Drosophila melanogaster: one gene and its partners. The protein of the gene in region 1 purifies or fractionates together with the protein of each later gene. This does not show direct contact. Each region holds a gene or a part of one and is shown in the gene's direction. Other genes may lie near its edges.

Region 1 (4,812 bases):
TTTATAAGAGTACTATGAGCTGAGATTTTGTTCGTCCTGCCTATTCACATACATCGTTCATCTCCAGGTCGGCCACATGACCAGGAAACAGGTGCGCCTTCTGCATGGGTACGTGCACAAAGTAACGATCACAAAACTTGGGGTTCCGCCGAAGCAGGACCTCAGTCAGTATTGTGCCATAGTCGATCTTCTTGGTAATCAAAAGGCGCCGGCTCTCTCCACTCCCATAGCTAGCGGAACGCAAGCCAAATTGTCTGGCGATTCTGTAAAGGGAAATGCCAACATAATAAGCAATTATTTTTTACGATGTGGGATGACGGTGCTTACTGGTGAAGCGTGGTTCTTTCTTCCTTCGAAAACGTGGGCTCAAACTGCATGTCACGTATATCGTCCGATCTCACATAGTTTTCTATAAGCCGTCGGTAATCAGCGAAATTTCCCTTTGGATTTATTAATCCAAGACCATTACGATTGTTCTTTAGCAGATAACTGAAAATATAAAATAAAATAGTTTCGTTTGGTGATACGTTAAAAGTCGAACTCTTACCATACGGGCTCTTCACGTCCCTGCTTCAGTCGCCCTAAGCCACCGCCTGTCCAGCCCATCAGTCGCATCATGCGATATCCCTTGTTGCTGGGGTCCAATTTGGGATCGCACGGACTGTCGGCGGACTCATTGGTGACTTTGATGTTGACGCCGTCCTTGTTTTTTTCCACCTTGATGGTGTCGCGCGTGGCATTCAGCTGTGTAGCGTAGTACCGGGTTTAATAAGGCATACATTATTTCAGAAATTTCATACCTTAATACTATAGCAATAGGACTGGATCGTCAAATGCGCCTGCTTATAGGCAGCTTTCTTGGCCGCCTTAAGGCTCTCCCCCTGTCCTGTCGCTATTACCTCATCATTTACTAATAATTCGGCGTATTTTGTATTATCGCTTAATGGCTGATCTCGGCTGACACGCTCTTCGTACTTGACATTCGCAATGTTGCAGGAGTTTTGCAGGCAGGCTCGTCCCCCAGCCAAGTACACAATGAGCCGACCGAAACGCAGATCTTGATAGAGATCGACTGGATCTCCGCCGCCAAAACACTGGCGTTTTATGTGTGAGCTATCCTCTGGGGAGCTCGTCGAGGGAAGGGGTGGAGCCCGGCGCCCTAGTAGTTGGAATTAGGCATTAGGCTTTGGTCTCTCTGGCTCGTATAGTTACTAGTGATAAAAAGAATCTTCTCTCGCCTATGGGCCCACTAATTGTTCAGTCGTCTACCTTTGGCGCGCTGCTCCGCCGCATCCGACGCCGAGACAAATGTTCTCTTCAGGCGCTGTTCCCGTTTCTGACGGAAATCCGCTGCGATTTCCTTGGACAACTCGGCCACCAAAAGCATCGTCGCGCTTGGATACTTGCAGCCCATGAACTCCATGTTGACGAACGTTTGGGCCAGGCACACCAGCCGGTCCTCCTCAAAACGATCCTTGTGGGCCAGCATGAAGCTGCGTCGCAGATCCCAGTGCTCATCACTTTCGTATTCCGTCTTGTAGCTGTCTACATCCCAGTCCAAGGAAAATTCCCCGGATCCATAGCCGGCATCATCCTGTTTTTTAACTTTGACTTTCTTCTGCTTTGGCTTGGATTGTTGAACGGACATCTTTACAGGGAAAATAAATAGCGTTCAACTTGTCAAATAAAATGAGCACAGGCACGCTTGTTTTTTGATTGCTGCTTTCCCATTCACAGCGAATTATCAATTCGATTGGCCATGTGTTGCCCATTGGCTATCGATAACGCAGCGATAACGATAGGCCCCATCACGGCTATACTTTGTCGTGCGTGTGTGTTTTTAAGTTCCTGCCTTTTAATTCATGATTTTTTGGTAACTTAACAACAATTTGGAGAGCGACGCGACGCCCAAGAAGTCAGAAACGAATTGCCAAAGTGTCTCCACAGACGATTGCCCCAAAGTGAGAGATCGGATCAGCCCAAAGCAGCCAACATGAGCATACCCAACGAGTACATAGCGAAAACGGAGGATGTGGCGGAACAGGTAAGATATATTAGGTTCCACTGCCAAAAAGAAGTCCACCAGGACTCCATATCCACCGCAGGAAGCGTCTTCCCGATGCGCCCCAAATGGCGTTTGCGGGGAAGCCCTGGCAGCTGCAAACTGGGAAAACTGCCAACGTCACCCAAACGCGGCAAAGTTCGAGGGTCTTGGCTGCATATAATCACGATCCGCTGACATGGGGGCAACGTGCTGGGCATTTGCTTCCAATAAGAATCTGGGTGCAACCCAGATGATGGGTTTGCCTTGTACTCCAGTACCGCAATTGACAGTTGTTGCGTCTGCCGCAGGGAAAACTCTCTCTCTCGCTGCTTATTTTCTACCTGTGTGCTGATGCGTATGTGTCTGTGTGTGTGTGCGAGAGAGCTGTCTCCGCAAGTGAAAGTGTTGAAAAAGAAATAGCGGGCAGCTGGACGCCAGCGGCCAGGTCGAGTTCCGTAATAGTTGGGCTAGAAAGCCAGGTGAACTTGCTCGCGATTTACATACATACATGTATGAAGTTACATTGACAGCCGGGCCAAAACCCGTTAGCTGGCAGATAGCAATCGAGAGATACTAGCGTTTAGAGACACGTCACAGCCAGCGGGCGATTTCTAGCGACTACGCGCAAGCCACGCTCAACGGCATTGTATATTTAAATCCCTTATCACCTTGTCAGTAGTCCCCTTATCACCATATCAGCACCCATCCCAATTGCTCTCAACTCAACCAGAACCAATCGAACACTCATTTTTGCAGGTCATCAAGCGCGGCAAAAATGTGCTGCCCACAGTGGCCCGTTTGTGCCTCATCGCCACGTTCTTCGAGGACGGCCTGCGCATGTACATCCAATGGAACGAGCAGCGGGAGTACATGGACATGAGCTGGGGCTGCGGCAAGTTCCTGGCCACCGTCTTTGTGCTCGTCAACCTGTTGGGCCAACTGGGCGGCTGCGGCATGGTGATGGCCAGATTTAAGGTCGACATAGCGGTGGGACTGCTTTTCTTCATTGTGGTGTTGCAGGTGAGTCTGCATTTATATCAGCCAGAAGCAAAAGCCTTGACGTTAACCCGATCCTCTGTTTGCAGACCGTTGCCTACTCCATTCTGTGGGACTTCCAGTTCTTACTGCGAAACTTTGCACTCATCGGAGCCCTACTGCTCGTCCTGGCGGAAGCCAGGATAGAGGGGCGCAGCCTGTTTGCCGGCGTGCCATCGATGGGCGAAAACAAGCCCAAGAACTTCATGCAGCTGGCGGGCCGCATCCTGCTGGCCTTCATGTTCATCACTTTGATCCGCTTTGAGCTGAGCGTATGGCAAGTTATACAGGACATCATCGGCTCCATTCTGATGGTGCTGGTCGTGCTGGGATACAAGACGAAGCTGTCCGCCCTGATTCTGGTGGCTCTGCTTACGATCCTGAACCTGTACCACAATGCCTGGTGGACCATTCCGTCCTACAAGCCACTCAGGGATTTCTTGAAATACGACTTTTTCCAGGTTAGCAGGTTTACAATATCTTTCGCACGAATTTGTGTTATTTTTACGCATTCCCTTCGCAGACTCTCTCGGTGATCGGTGGCCTCCTCATGATCGTGTCCTTGGGCCCTGGCGGCGTTTCCATGGACGAGCACAAGAAGAAGTGGTAGAGGCCAGGCAACGGTCGCTCCTTGAACGAAACACTTTCAACATTTGACTTTTACCGTGTTTTACTCCTTCTGAGAAATGTTAGTTAGGAATTACCATAAAATGGGACAACAACAGGAGCAGCATCAGCAGCACAACACCGGCACGTATAAGAACTTGACAATTTTCAATAAAGGGACTTCCGCAATACCCCTCTCCAATGGCTCACTTATTGGGATCGCCCCAACCCAACTCCAAATCCATTCGCGCACATTCAACGACAAACTTCGACATTTTAAACATTTAGGACATTTTATTTTTGTACATAAAGAACAGGCAAGAAAAAAGTTTGGTCACTTTCGAGCCCACCCCAAATGAGAGACATAACTGATTTTATATCTATGCTTGTCAATATCCATGTTTTTTGCCGATTTTTTTATATGATTTGTACACTCTTATAAATAAGTTGTAACCTTGGTGTTTGCCTTTTGTTGATTGCTAGAAGTTTGAATATGAAAACGATGTATAAAATATGATGTACCAATTGACAATGATTTGTTTCTTTCGTTTATAAGCAAAAGTGTAATAGAATTAAATTGTAACGTTTTAATAAACATAAAGATGAAAAACCGAGACTTGTGCATTTTAAACTTGGCGCCAATTGGCCGATAAATGGTTAATGCTTTTGTTTGTTTACCAGCACTAAGGCACAGCTGACTCGCAACGTCAACAAAGAGGGAAATGCCCATTCTTCGACTACTGGGTACCCCGTACTAAGTTAGCTGCTAGTGAATCCTGCATAACTAACAATAAATAACTTTATTGCAAAAATAAGAGCATAAACCTTATACAAGTAGTACGATTAAATTTTGTAAATAGACACAAAATATAATGATAAAAAAAATGATTAGGCACCGTTTTGAATGGTAATGTTAGTGAATTAACTAAATATAAAACAATATATTGAAAAGCCCTGACCTCTCCAACAAGGCAGTGAAATGTCAACGGCCTCACTTTTTTTTAAAAACTTGAAATCAAATCTGAAAATAGGGATGAGTACATTTGATTAATTTCCAAAAATTGTTGCAATCAGTTCAAATCAATTGCAATACACAATGCACACAAGTAACTTATAGGGGCGGAAGT
Region 2 (5,355 bases), on another chromosome or scaffold:
ACTCAAATAAAACAATAATTTCGTTTCGAATAATGCTTGCACACTAAGTAGTAAAATAATTGTTTTACATAAAAAAAAATAATCATTTTTCACTTGGGTAATCCGCAAAGTAAACAAAAGAACTTAATCTTCAGCTTAAAAGTGCCAAAGTTTGAGTTGGGTAAAAGTTTGCAATGTGATTAAGGCATGAGGTGGAGACTCACATGTGGTCGACGTGGAACCCGAGCCGATGTGATGGAGTGAGGAGTATATAATCGCCAGTATCCAAAACAGCCTCGATCTCATCACTGCAGCGGAGTGTCTTCATATGCCGACTTACGGGATACGGTAACAGGATGCGGGATGATGCATCGACTGGCGCCACTCGCCGCAGGATATGCACATATGAACGAACGCCCCTCTAAACTGTTCTATATCGATCCAAGTCCAACTGCATCAGCGTCCCACTGCATCGCCAGCGATGATTCCACGGACTTCACTTCGCTTCGCTTATCGATTGCCCTGCGGCAAAATATTGCTGGACATATTGCACTCAAGTATCTTCTTTTTCAGAGTGTCCTTTTCGATTATATATGTATATTTACTTTTTCTTTTTCTCTTTTTTGTTGATTTCTTTGCACACTTTTCAGCGCGCGGATGGAGGCTGGAGGGATAGGAATGTCGGACAATTGGAAAATCGGAAAAGCGCTTATTAACCAGCTCGTGTTGCGTGTGTATTTATCCTTTTGCAACTGCTGCTCGGATGGCCAATAAACGGGAATGTAGGTCAGGGCATGCTCTGCGCATGGCCAGCATCCGCATCCCTATTATTTCATCCGAAGGAATCCCTCTACCCGAGCAACAACAACAAATAGCAGACGCCACTCACCTCTCAAGCTCAAAATAATGCAATCTTCAAGATTGTTTTAAAAAGAAAAAGACTTTTCTTTTCTTCTTTTGTTTGCATTTGTCCAGGAAAAAAGCTCTTTTCGGCGGATGGTTCTGATAAATATTTAACAATATAAAAGTTGCTTTTGCCGGTCCTTCGGCGTTGTTGTTCCCTCACCCACACTTGCTTCGGCACTGAATCCGCTCCGAAAGGCCAGCATCTCTCTCGGCATTCTTGCAATCCAGGGATTTCTACCCACCAAACAAGGTCCTTTGAATCCGTATAGCTCGGCATGCAAATAAATCGGGCGATTGAGCTCAGAAATACCTGTATTTTACTAATTGTTAAGAGCCTAGAGTAAAAATACAGATAAACTACCATTCTTTTACTGTCAAATTAAGCTTCAAATTCGAAATTCGATAAGTAACCGATATTTATCGATAGGCAAAGGATTACCCTCGCACATACGCGATCCGCTATAGCCATCTCGCTCCATCAATAATTTACCGTTAATATAGCGGGCTTTACTCAGAAACATCAAAAATATTTAACGACTTTAATTGTAGCATTCGCTGCGTTAAATTGTTTATCGCACTTTCTGCTTCCTGCGCATGTGCAGGAAATTAGTCAGACTATTTCGGTGATTGCCCCATTCTGGCGTGTATTGGTGAGAGCATAGAACTTACACTGCCCTCCTATGATATACATATGCATGCTTTTTTCGCTTTTAAATAAACTAATTAATAGACTAGTAAAAGAAGGATATACGGTAATGAACCTGTGAACCCTTAGGCGGAAAACTATTGCTGAATTTACATTTCATCCCTCTTTTAAAATCAGCTAGTGCAACATAACGGTTCTTGGTGTGATAAATTTTTGCGCTCACTGTTTGCAGCCGCCCTTATCTTTCGCTTTTTGGTGGTGTGCGTGAGCGCTATGAAATGACATAAGTGGGCACACAACACAGACACACACCCCTCTGAGGGGGGCACATGGATACGAAAAAGAACCGTTCATTTGCTTTTGTGCCGTTGACAATTGACATTCAATCGCTTTTTCCATTTGTTTTTATTTTCCCCCTTCTACCCTAAGTTTCTCCTTTCAAAGAAAACGCATTTGGAATACAAATCAGGCAAAAAACACGCGTACATAAATCGAGTAATCGAAAATCAGTGGCGATTTCGAAGGGTGTGTGTGTGTGTAGAATTACTACAACACACCACAAATACAGTTCGAAAAGGCAGCGCAGTCGGCAGAGGCGAAAAAAAAGCAGCGGCGTCAGCATTTCCATTTCGGCATTGCAGCTCGAAAATCGTAGAATCAGAAACTAATCAGCCGGCAGAGGCTATAGCAGTCGACCGATCGCAATCGCACCATATAGTACATACAATAGGTACCATTGCCTAGGAGTACCAGGAACCAGGAACCACTAATCTCCATCATCAACATCATGGAGGAGAACAACTCGCAAGTGCTGAGCCTGCTGGGCGGTCTGGCCATCGGAATCGTGGGCTTCCAGGTCTTCCGGAAGGTCCTGCCCTGGATTTACGCCAATGTTGTTGGCCCCAAGGTCTTTGGCTCCTCGGTGGATCTCTCCAAAATGGGCGAGTGGGCAGGTGAGTCGGTTGCCATGGAAAAACATGCCGGAAAGGAGCGGAAACGGGGTCGATTCCGAGTGCACAGTGAAAAAATGAATAGCAAGTTTGCTAAAGAAGTGTAGTTAAAAAGATTAAAGACCCTTTTACAATTAAATTGTGAAGAAAGGGAATTTCCAAATTGCAAACACTCTACTTTCAAGTTTTCCAATTTTGCATTAACTGCCTAAAGGAATACACTATATATCTTTCCAAAATGGAGTTCAGTACTTTTTTCACTGTGACCGATAAGATCGTTCCCCACGCCCCATAAATCCACTGATAACCCACAGAACTATTGGCTAACTTTTTCGACTTTCAGTTGTCACCGGGTCGACCGATGGAATTGGCAAGGCCTACGCCAAGGAGGTATGTACACAAAGATGACATGGAAGGGCTGCCCCAATCTTGACCAGCGCAAGCAAAGTCCGTCCAAGCTCGACCGATGATTATAGTAAAATGGGAAACGGGTCAAGCAAACAAACAAACAAAAAACGATAGTAATAATGAGCAATTAGTAATTACTAATTACCGAATTGAGTGTCGCCCACGATGACTTGGACATTGGTTTAGCGGTCGCCAATGCATTAGCCAAGTGAATCTGCACTTTGAAATCGATCTTCAGTCAACAGTCCAGTCGCAAACAGTCCCTAATAGTGTTTGCTTGACTGCAAATCGCTACATTTGTACTTTTCGTTATTTATTTTTACAAAGTGCAATCGCAGTTGATTTTTCTACCTTTTGTGGTAATTTTTTTTTTTTTTTGCCAGTTTTATTTTGTAATACACAGACTTGGAGCAAACGAAGCTAGAAGCTATAGGGAACACGTGTCCCCTGAATGGCAATTACTTTATAGAGTGGAGCACAGGGCCCCGATCGAAGCTTGTGCCAAATTAGCATTCGGCGTGCGTCGAACGCACAGAAAATGGTTCAATGTTCACACCCAATTTCTATTCATATACACGCTTAGTACACTTAAATGACTTCCTGTTCTTAAAATCTACGGGTTACTCGTCTTTGAAACTCCTGCTTTAGGTAGAAACGTTCAGTGTTCCCATTCCAAAGCACCATTGCTTTTTATCTCTGACCTAAGAATTTACTATCCAAAAGTACGTAAATATGAGCAGGCTAATAAATATTTAATCACTTTCAGTTGGCTCGCAGGGGCTTGAAACTGGTGCTGATTAGTAGATCCCTGGAGAAACTGAATGTGGTGGCCAAGGAGATAGGTAAGTCTGCTCACTAAAATACAGTTAACAACTTCAACTAACAACTGCTCTTTGCGGTCTACTTTCAGGCGATAAATACGGTGTGGAGGTGCGTGTGATCGATGTGGACTTCACCGGCGGTGACGAGATCTACGATAAGATCCGCGAAAAGACCACTGGCCTCAATGTCGGAGTGCTGGTCAACAACGTGGGCATCAGCTACGGCCATCCCGAGTACTTTCTGGACTGCTACAAAGCCGATCCCCCATTCCTGCGCAACATTGTGGCTGCCAATATCCACTCGGTGACGCACATGACCGCACTTTTTCTACCCGGCATGATTAGCCAGCGACGTGGTGTGATCATAAATGTATCGTCCACCGCCGGAGTCATTCCTAATCCGCTGCTGAGCGTGTACAGTTCCACCAAGGTGAGTGGATATCATCAGAAGTGATAGAAGGCTAATTACTAATACCTATAATTTGCAGGCCTTTGTGAACAAATTCAGTGATGACCTGCAGACGGAGTACAAGGAGCACGGCATCCTCATCCAGAGCGTCCAGCCGGGCTTTGTGGCCACAAATATGTCTAAGATCCGAAAGGCTAGCGTGTTTGCTCCCTCGCCGGAAACGTATGTCCGCTCGGCGCTGTCCACCCTGGGCATTGCCACCCAGACGGCGGGCTATCTGCCGCATGCTCTACTCCAGCTGGTCATCCACTTCACGGAGGCGGTGTTCGGCGAACAGTTCGCACGCAACATCGTTATGAAGAACATCCTGGGCACCCGGAAACGTGCCCTGCGCCGCCTGGCCAAGGAACAGTAGATTATTGAGGATGAATACGGCGGAGGAGGCATTTAATGGGAATCGGTTGGGATGATGAGTGGGTCAGTTGGGTTGTGGGGAAAATCCGGCTAGTCAAATAGCTTACGTAATTACCGCGTGTCATACGAATCCACAAACAGATAGCTTGAAATACCAAAAAAAAAAACATTTTTCCGAAATAAACTAAGTTTAGTTAGTTTTTGTCATTAATTAGCATTGAAGATTCGCAAACAGCCATGTCATGTAAACAATAAAAAATGTGTTACTAGATATATGTATATATCTAGTTTCCAATGATAAATAACGCCTTTTATTTGCAGTCCTTTATTTTGTATTTAACTTCTTATTTGTTCTTGCTAGCGATTTTTCTTTTTCCCTATGATTTTTCATGTTTTTCGGATCCAATTTGAATTTGAATTGGATGTGTCGATAACGGCAATAGCTATCGATTGGTCATCGATAGGCGCGCCCTTCGGCTAATCGGCGAGATGGGAATGACAGAAAGAGATACAACACTTCGCGCAGGGCGAAGAAGCAAAGCAAAGGGCAAAATTCATAAACATAACAGTAAAGATAGTGTATAGCCGGGCGTGAAATGTAATGAATCGGATTCATGACGTGACGTGTTATCAGGGCCAGCCCAATCCCAACTGCGCAGCAGCAGCGACAGCAACAACAATAACAACAACACATCAAGCTGAATCGAAGGAGCGTGTAATCAGTAATCAGAGTCGCTTGTTTTGATTTCCTTTCCTCGGAAACGAATCAACACGAAACGAGACGAGACGATTCGAAACGAAATGAAATCAAAACTCCGCTCC
Region 3 (4,745 bases), on another chromosome or scaffold:
TTCACCTGTGTGACGTCATTTGCGAGCGAGAGGGGAAGCTTTCTGTGCAACAGCCAATACTTTTTTTTAGCTTTTTGTTCTACTTTGACTACCATTTTAATGCCAATGACCCAAGCGGATAACTAGTGACAATGGCCTGTGTTGTAGACACAAAACCCACGACTAATTGTGTGCTCATCTGATCTTTTGTTCTAACGCCATTTACAAGTTGCCTGATCCAGATTTTCAGGAAGATCACGTTCACAGCTATCGAATTTTGATATATTACCAAATTTGAAGCCCGCTGTTTTAGCCACATTACAACGTTTGCCACGCTAGTCCAATCTATGGCCATATAAATCTCAGCCTTACGCTCACCTTTGTACTCTCCTTATCGTTGTTTACTTTAGGGTTATTAACGAATTTTACATTTTAGAAGTTGTTCGAAAATGGCAATTTATTCTGTACGGCATACTATATACTATATGTGTTTTACATATTTTCTCCCCATACAATATGCCTACATATCATTGCCACTATCATTATGCCAACAACCATAACAATAACAATATCAGAGACAGGTTCGGTAGCACTCGCAGTCCAATTTAGATAATTTTCCACTGGACATTTCAGTTTAAGCGGTACGAAAGCCGGAAGCTGCTCATATGAGCATATCTCCTCTGTTCGTATAATAGATTTATCTTTTTTATCATAATTTGTTTACGGGCACTGCCGATGACTGTCATTTGTCGCACATATAGATTTGCGTATGTGGAGCTCGTACTAACTCCCTTCCATTCACAGTGACTAATTTACTAAATTTGGTTTCTTTTATTTACACTTTATTCACTTTATTTTCTCTTCAAGTTCCAATTGCCTGTTATCACGTAGGGAACATTTACCCATTCGCCTAATCTTATCACTCACTACTTCACGCACACGGGGAATTCAGCAAAGGTAAAATAGGTAAAAGTCTTATTGACTTTTTGACGAAAAATGGAAATAAGTCTTGAGTTAAACTAAATGCTGAAACGTGCTCAATATAATTCCGCTGATTTCTGAATTGATTATGGGGGTAGTCACTTTGGAATTACCGATTTTATGATGGCTTTGTTTCTTTGTACACCTGTTTCCTCGGCCGGTAAACGCGCTACTAACGAAATCCCCAATGATCGTGGTCAGTGATGCCGCTTTAGCCATGAATATTATCTTCAAAAAAGATTTTAAAGTTGGATGTTTCTACTAACAACTCACTTTTGCCCTGAAAATATATATATTCTTTTTTTTTGCCAAAATATTTTATTTTTTAGATAATTTCCTTATAAAGGCACGACATCACTAGTAAGTCATTTACCTTTCCCATCCAATACACAAACCAACTTTGAGCTTGAGTGCCATCGAGCTTTTTGTTGGTTAAAAGGGGTTAAACGCAGTTGTTGGTAGTTTTGCGTTAAACAAAGAGTTTAAGCTACATTATATTGAAATGTAACGCCTAAAAAAATAGATTTATTGTAAAGTAGCCCTTCACAAAAATATTTCGTATTAAAAGTGACAAAATGTATCAAAAGCCTGCCAGTTTTTTATTTCAATTACATTACTGGCTCCTATTTTGGTTTCTACTACATTTACTAGTTTTCAAACTTATTTTTGAAAGACCGCTTGTAACGGTCGATAGTCATTATTGTTAACCCGATAGAGCTGCACAAATATTATCGATATATTATTGGTATTTTCCAACTGCCCGGATGGATTTTCGATGACTGTGGCTGCAGTCACACTGAGTCGGGAAAATAATTATTTATTAAAAATTCGTGGACCCGCGCTGTACATCTGTGTCTGTGCTGTTCGCTCCGCTCCAAGTGCGGCAAAAAGCAACCAAGAAGGCAGGCAGCCCAATCGGTAATTTACGGCGGAGTAGTGAGGCGATATACGGAAATCGCGACCAGTGCACGTGCAATTGTGAATCGTTCTCGATTTTCCCGACCCGCACCCTTTCTTCTCTTTCGACCATTGTGACTGTGCACAATTAACTTGCATACATACGTGTATGTATGTACACACTCTGTTTGTATGTATGCGTGCCACCCCCAATTGAGGCGGAAAAAGGAGAAGCAAAGGAATTTCTGCAAAATCCAAGATGCCCATGCTATTTTCACTATTTTATTTTGCCAACTTTTCAGTCGACACTTTGCTCTTGCAGCAACAAAGCCAACAACGGCGAAAATTGGAAGTTATTTTCTTTTCTTTCTCCACTCTTTTTATCGCAAAACAACAGCAACACTGCCCGTGCACCGCTCTCCCCGCTCCCACTTGCGTCCTTGTTAATACAGTGAATATCGGCTAGCCACAAACAGGGGAAATACAAAGAATCTTAATTTGCATTTGTATGGTTGATAAAAAGTCAACTTATCAACTTATCTAAATCGTCAAACCAAAGTGACTTATACATTTGTAAACATTTTTAAGCGTTTTCCCTGTTTTAATTGCGAAAATAGTAAAGATATCGTGTTTTATTTTTATCAACAGTGCAGCGAAAGTTTTATAAAGTATACATATATTCAGTCAAATAATTATTAAAGTCCTATACTCTCCGTATACACTGGATTTGGTTTTTTATTAATTTTCAATTATGTGTATTTTGAATTTAGCCTCTTCAATTGGAGCTTAGGAACCTTAACAACCAAAGAACCGATTTCCAGACTTAAAGCTAAGGTAAGTTAAATACACCTATTATTCTTAGCCTCATTATCAATTTTTAATGAAACTTCAAAAAATAGATTGTAAGAGTGTTATATCTCTTTTCTTAGTTAAACATAATCTCGGAAATGATATCCATTATCTTACGTAGGGGATTTGCCTGCAGGAGACCTGCATCAGCATGTCTGTTATTGTTGCACGTGGGTCACCGAACTGGGCGGGTGTGGGCGTGGTCAGGTAGTAGCTGAGCATATCTGCATTTCAACAATCGATCTTAATCTGCGCTTGCTTTTGAGTTCCTTTCGTCTAGGACTTGTTATACTTGATTTATGGCCCCTTCCCGCGATTTCCCATCCTCGAAAACCGGTTGTTTTGACTTAATCATCGGTTCTCGCTGGTTATTTGATATGAAATTCTTTCTGACTCACAGCAGTTGTTTAAATTCTGGCGTGGAAATCCCGATCTTTTTCCTTATCAAGCCAAATAAATATGAAGGCTAATTTGCTATGTTTGAATTATTTTATTTAAATTACTTTTGAAAAACAAATAGGCAGTACAGCTATTAAATAGCAGGTTTTTATTTGTTAAAGCGTAATATCTTTCAGATTTTATAGATTCTAAATCTTCCCATATAGGTTTATTTTTCCTCATTAAGTCTTGCAAATTATGTTCGATTTTCTTTCTGTATCGGTTCTGAGATATTGTATGTTGCAGCGATTTTCACTGTTGCATAAAACTCTTGTATTCCGGGCCTAATTAAATCACTTTAAATGCCTGCTCGGTGTGGCTGAAATAATTCGATTTAAAGGTCAGGCACTCACCCAAGTGACTTTCCAACTCTTTTTGTTCTCGGCTCCCAGTCAGTCATCAGCGAAAATTGAGTGAGATCGAGGAGGAGGGGAAAATCAATATGTGCTAATATAATTTTGTGGCAAACAAATTAAAGCACACAGAACAGCTCGTCGTCGCTGCTCTGATTTGTTTAGCTATACGAATATGTACCATATTTATTCAGTTGATTTGGTTCAGTTTCAGTGGTGAATATTTGAGCAGCAGCATTTAATATTTGATACTGGCCAATTTGATTTGTGGGTAAGCACATTGACTACCGCCCAAAACTGAAATGCAGCCGAAAATGGGGCCAAAAGTGGGTTATGTTTGCTCCGACCACCATGCAAGCTGGCTTTGATTTACGACTGCAACTAAAGTAGGTTAACCTAGGTCCAGATAACTACTACATTCTGCTTCTCCAACGATACCATATTCTAATCTCAAAGTTGCCTGAGCTGCTGGCTTTCCAAGAGTAGAATCATGTACATGTGACCTTGACACGGTTTTCACTTGCTATGCAGGAAAAAGGGTTTCCCGCATCCACCGTACCGTATCCATTGAAATTTGATTTTGTTATTTGTTTATCGACGCCACTTCATGCAAATTGGAGAAATTCAGGTGGATATATTTTTAGCTGACACATCCATGCAATGTTTGCAAATGCATATATAGTATTCACCTTTCTGCCAGCCTGATGAAATTCTTTTGTATATTTTTCACTCTGTTCTCCGTTCTCGTGGAACTCAACCAGGTTGGACCACCCAACGCCCAGCTCCGTCTCTTACTTTGCCTTTCTCTGCGCCGCCCTTTTTCCAGAGCACCTCCGTCCGCCTTCCGTTCCCGGAGGTCGGGAAAAAGAACCGGGTTAATCGTCGCCACGTTGTCGCCGTGGAGAACAAATGACTCTTTTCGTTTGTGGGTCAACTGCAATTTTTGCCATTAATATAATTAATTGATTGCCATTTTGGTTTTAAATGTCGTAACTTTATGTGAGTGAAACGCACCTATTAAATGGGAATACTCACATAATAAAATTCAAAAGCGTTCACATCGCAAAATCTATAAGAATGCTAAAATTGTTTTCAGTGCTGCACTTCACACTTACGTAGCAAAAAGATTTACCCAATCTTAAAATTACTTTAATTCCTGCTTAATAAATCTTTCTACAAATTGCCGATCAATAAATCAACAGTGCGTCTAATTTGGCTTATCGAAATGCCCACTTTCGAGTACTTTGT
Region 4 (4,586 bases), on another chromosome or scaffold:
GCTCGTGCTTGTTGGGATGGTGGTGGGTCTGTTGCTTGTGGCTGGCACCACCGTTTGCTCCTTCATGGTGGAAGATCTGCTCGTGCTGATGCTGGAAGTACTCGTAGTGACCGACATGATCCGGATGGTGTTCCGTTGGCGGTGAATGGATCCTCGACGGTGGGCTGTGGTGCTGTCCCTTGGCGGCGTGGCCGGAGGTGGTGCTATGATGCGCTGCCTGCTTCTGTGAATGGCCACCTGCTCCTCCATGATGACCACCGCTGCTGGTATGATGACCATGTCCGTGGGCATGATGGTGATTGTGGGTTGGCGGCGAGGGCATGTTGTGGCCGCTGTGGGGCAGATGCGACGAGTGCTGCACACCCACCTGATGTCCGTGGTGGTGAGGAACATGACCTTGGGACGCCTCCATCAGCGTTGGCTGGATGTGGGTCACAAACTGGGCCATTTTGCCGCAACCTTCAACTACTGCTCCCTTTTTGTTGTGGTTTCTTTGAGGTTTGGGCTTAGGTAACACTTGTTTAAAATTTCACTCCTCTATGAGGCGGTTTTTTTTTTTGGGAAGGCGGGGGTGGCACTTTTATATGTATCCCAAAAGTGGGAGTGGGTAGCACAAAAAAACACACACTACGGCTGGCTTGCGGACGAGTTGTGGGCGACGGAGGATTTGGGCTCGGACCGTGGACAACCTTCTCGCAGGAGCAATGTCAAATGACTGACTAGGAGCAGCTATCCCAGTTGGGCCTTAGACGCCACAGGACTCGCCACCCGCCATCGCACCACCCGAACCACTTCGGCTCCAGCTCGGCTGTGCGCGTTCGTCCTCGTCGTGGCGGAAGAGCTTTAACCGGACCCAGTTTTATGCGCCTGGCCTGGCTGATAAGAGATACCACTCGCTTCAACGGCTGATTACGACTTTGGATGGCTGCGGATGCTGATTTAATGATGTCTTCGTGCCGCGCCACGTAGTGCTCTGTTTTTTATATCTGCCTGTCAACTGTGTCACGGATTTCCAATTCGTTTCGCTGGAGATTTTTTTGTCGCTGGGAGGCGGGGCTGCAATCTGTTATTTTTAAAACAGCCAGAGGAACATGTTCCGTCTATTTGTGTCAAGCGGGAAAGTATGCTCCGATTGTTAAGCACCTAACAGGTGGCAGCGAAGTCTAACGACTAGGGACTATCCTGTTGGTTCTTATTTTATTATTTAACATATCAAATCATGTTTTAAATGTTTTGAATATGGAAAAATGGGGTTAAAAAGTTAAAGCGAATGAAACCTATAATTATCTAATTGTCTCTACATTTTATTCTAAACTAACCAAAATATAGTATATTACTATTTAATATGAATTATCCCTCAATGACCTCTGCCGACGAACATTTTCAAGCCTAATATACCCGATTGTATTATTTTATACCTATTGCCCAGAAGCAATACGTTACGTTGTGAACTGAAAGCTTTTACCTTACGTAGATTGCTGGGCATTACGTTAAAGCTATGTTTTATTAAGCTTATTTCGTAGGGTATTTCGTGTGGTACATTGATATCTTAAAAAAGGGGGTGTGTCTCTTCATACACATATGCCTATGTACTTGACAAAACCTGGATGAAATGTACAGTTGGTATTTTAAAAATATTTTACAATACAATTTATTTATATAAGCATTATATTACAATTAAGGCGAGGTACAAACAAATTTGTTAACTCTTCGAAAAGCTTTGGGAAAGTTCCATCAACAGCGCATACAAATGTCTGCGAAATCTTCCCTTATCTCAACCTCCTGCATATATTTGTAGGTGCATATGCTTGTAGTTCGTTCGTCACCACGATTCTGTAGCTTTTGCGACTGCCAGCGCAACAAGGTCCAATGTCCAAGCGTCGCTGCCATATCGCGATGAACCAATGTACATATGTATGTACATATATAACATCGCTATACCGGCGCATCGGCAACTCGTTTGGATCATTTCGCTGGCAGCCACCGACGAGTTAGCAAGGCGACCTAGTTAAAACTCAGGAAAATACGAAAATAAACCCACATTCAAATGGCGTTCCTCAACAAGGTGAGCATATCAGTCAATTTACAACGCAGAGAAAGTGAAAAACACATCGCTGGGACATATCATATCCAAAGGTCCAAAGTTCTATCACGCTAGTGACGACAGCAACTGTTGATCGTAGGATCATACATACATATACATATGTACCTACCAACAAACATATATTCGAGTGGGTTCCGTTTCGAAAACAATTTGTTGCTGCCTATCTGTTAGCAATCATCTGTACTTTGCCCCCCCTGAGAAAGTATTATTAGCGGCGTCTAATGGCGGCTTATCGTGCACTCTATTTAAATCGGAATGCAAACTTTATGGGCAGGCATATTCGTTATCTGTTTTATGAAAAAAATAGAATGTGATGGTTGGTTATGAACCTCAAACATCCAAAGTCCCTTGTAAATATAAAAAAAACCTTCGTCTATGATCATGATGTTGTATTAATTAAATACATACGTAGTTGGCCCATTTTATTTGTTGCTTGTAGTTAAGATTAATTCGCGGTCAACTTTGTTGTTGTTCTGATTATTTCTACATTTTCATTTTGCATTTCGATAAACACTTGTTTACCAGTTGACTTTAAATCCGATATCCAATATCCGAAAATCCAGCTTGCTGCGCCTGCCCTGCGCCAGTTGGTGTCCCAAAGTCGCGCCTACGCCGCCGTGTCACACGTTTCGCCCAATGGCACCTCTTTCGCACTCACCGAGGATCAGCTGCAGCTGCAGGAACTGGCACGTAAGTTCACCCGTGAGGAGATCATCCCGGTGGCCGCCCAGTACGACAAGAGCGGCGAGTACCCGTGGCCCATCATCAAGAAGGCCTGGGAACTGGGCCTGATGAACAACCACATTCCTGCTGATATTGGTGGCCTGGATCTCGATGTGTTCACCACCTGCTTGTCGGCCGAGGAGTTGGCCTATGGCTGCACTGGCATCATGACCGCCTTAGAGGCTAGTGGTCTGGGCGTAAGTTTAAAGTCATGTCTATTTACGGCAAGATGATCGAAACGCCACGTTCTTTCATAGCAAACTCCTGTGATCCTGTCCGGTAACAAGGAACAGAAGAAAAAGTACCTGGGCCGCCTGCTGGAGGAGCCACTTGTCGCCGCCTATTGTGTTACAGAGCCCGGAGCAGGATCCGATGTGTCCGGCATCAAGACACGCGCCGAGAAGAAGGGTGATGAGTGGGTAATCAACGGCCAGAAGATGTGGATCACCAACGGTGGTGTGGCGAACTGGTACTTTGTGCTGGCCCGCACCAATCCGGATCCCAAGTGCCCGCCCAGCAAGGCCTTCACCGGGTTCATTGTGGAGCGCGACAGTCCCGGACTAACGCCCGGCCGCAAGGAGTTGAACATGGGACAGCGCGCCTCCGACACGCGTGGCATCACCTTCGAGGATGTGCGCGTGCCCAAGGAAAATGTGCTGATTGGCGAGGGTGCCGGTTTCAAAATTGCCATGGGCACCTTTGATAAGACGCGTCCTCCAGTTGCTGCCGGAGCTGTGGGTTTGGCCCAGCGTTGCTTGGATGAGGCTCTTAAATACGCGCTGGAACGCAAGACCTTTGGCGTGCCCATCGCTTACCACCAGGCTGTGCAGTTCATGCTGGCTGATATGGCCATCGGTGTGGAGACATCCCGTCTGGCGTGGCGTCTCTCCGCCTGGGAAATCGACCAGGGACGCCGCAACAGCTACTATGCCTCCATTGCCAAGTGCCATGCCGCCGATATGGCCAACAAGATTGCCTCCGATGCCGTCCAGATCTTTGGAGGCAACGGCTTCAACAGCGAGTATCCCGTGGAGAAGCTGATGCGTGATGCCAAGATCTACCAAATCTACGAAGGTACTTCTCAGATCCAGCGCCTCATCATTTCCCGAAACATGTACGAGGCTGCTAAGGGTCAAGCCTAAGTCAGTTTTAACTAGGATTCCTCATCTCCATTCACCTCATCAGTTGTCATGCTCATTGTAGACACATTCACAAATCCGATTAATAAAGTACAATAAGTAAATAATTACAAGAAAATATAAATCATTGATTGTGATTTGTCTGTTGAGGGAAATGTTGTATAAATGGCACTTGGTAATTTCTAAGGAATTACTTATTCCTCAAGTGTATAAAAGGAAGGAAGAAGTAAGCAAACAGTCAGTGCGTTAGTATGTTTACTAATTCTTAATATTTCAAGTTTCTCTAATCTTGCCCTCACTTACCCCCAAAATTGTAGAGTCTAGACCATCGCAAATTATTTCGCTAGCTATCATCCATTGATAAGATAAGCCCTGTGGGGGCTGAGTGTTTGTTCTACTTAGGTTCAACGAATCGCTGTTCTGCTATCAACTGAACGATAAGACTTACTGTACTTAGATTTGCTATATAATTGTCAAACAATAAAAAATGCTCTGGGACATACAACACAAGGAAATGGTTTACACATGATGAGACTACACTATTCCGCATCGCTTCCATCAGCGAGTAGCTTAAGTAGACCTTTGTACCGCCTTCCAATTTTCCGGCTATTTGATGTGGT

What was found.
Region 2: the proteins of Surf4 (region 1) and spidey purify together in Drosophila melanogaster (affinity purification with mass spectrometry, with the first as the bait; one large-scale study listed by BioGRID). This does not show direct contact.
Region 3: the proteins of Surf4 (region 1) and ZnT63C purify together in Drosophila melanogaster (affinity purification with mass spectrometry, with the first as the bait; one large-scale study listed by BioGRID). This does not show direct contact.
Region 4: the proteins of Surf4 (region 1) and Mcad purify together in Drosophila melanogaster (affinity purification with mass spectrometry, with the first as the bait; one large-scale study listed by BioGRID). This does not show direct contact.

Annotation. Positions count from the first base shown.
Region 1 is NT_033777.3:15,343,141-15,347,952, reverse strand, and holds Surf4 (surfeit 4), read left to right. Parts: upstream 1-1,776; 5' UTR 1,777-1,993; coding exon 1,994-2,044; intron 2,045-2,800; coding exon 2,801-3,064; intron 3,065-3,129; coding exon 3,130-3,540; intron 3,541-3,602; coding exon 3,603-3,689; 3' UTR 3,690-4,300; downstream 4,301-4,812. Other genes in the region: CG31301 (uncharacterized protein), read right to left, coding at 41-263, 328-489, 548-744, 801-1,159, 1,270-1,648. UniProt on the Drosophila melanogaster protein: Endoplasmic reticulum cargo receptor that mediates the export of lipoproteins by recruiting cargos into COPII vesicles to facilitate their secretion.
Region 2 is NC_004354.4:7,907,054-7,912,408, forward strand, and holds spidey (spidey), read left to right. Parts: upstream 1-1,877; 5' UTR 1,878-2,318; coding exon 2,319-2,484; intron 2,485-2,824; coding exon 2,825-2,871; intron 2,872-3,655; coding exon 3,656-3,731; intron 3,732-3,799; coding exon 3,800-4,140; intron 4,141-4,198; coding exon 4,199-4,534; 3' UTR 4,535-4,832; downstream 4,833-5,355. Other genes in the region: dpr14 (defective proboscis extension response 14), read right to left, coding at 204-285.
Region 3 is NT_037436.4:3,301,975-3,306,719, forward strand, and holds the start of ZnT63C (zinc transporter 63C), read left to right. Parts: upstream 1-1,733; 5' UTR 1,734-1,878; exon of another isoform or gene 1,879-2,299; intron 2,300-2,627; 5' UTR 2,628-2,691; intron 2,692-4,745.
Region 4 is NT_037436.4:7,717,393-7,721,978, forward strand, and holds Mcad (Medium-chain acyl-CoA dehydrogenase), read left to right. Parts: upstream 1-1,957; 5' UTR 1,958-2,047; coding exon 2,048-2,065; intron 2,066-2,506; exon of another isoform or gene 2,507-2,667; coding exon 2,668-3,024; exon of another isoform or gene 3,025-3,084; coding exon 3,085-3,969; 3' UTR 3,970-4,080; downstream 4,081-4,586. Other genes in the region: CG7457 (uncharacterized protein), read right to left, coding at 4,506-4,586.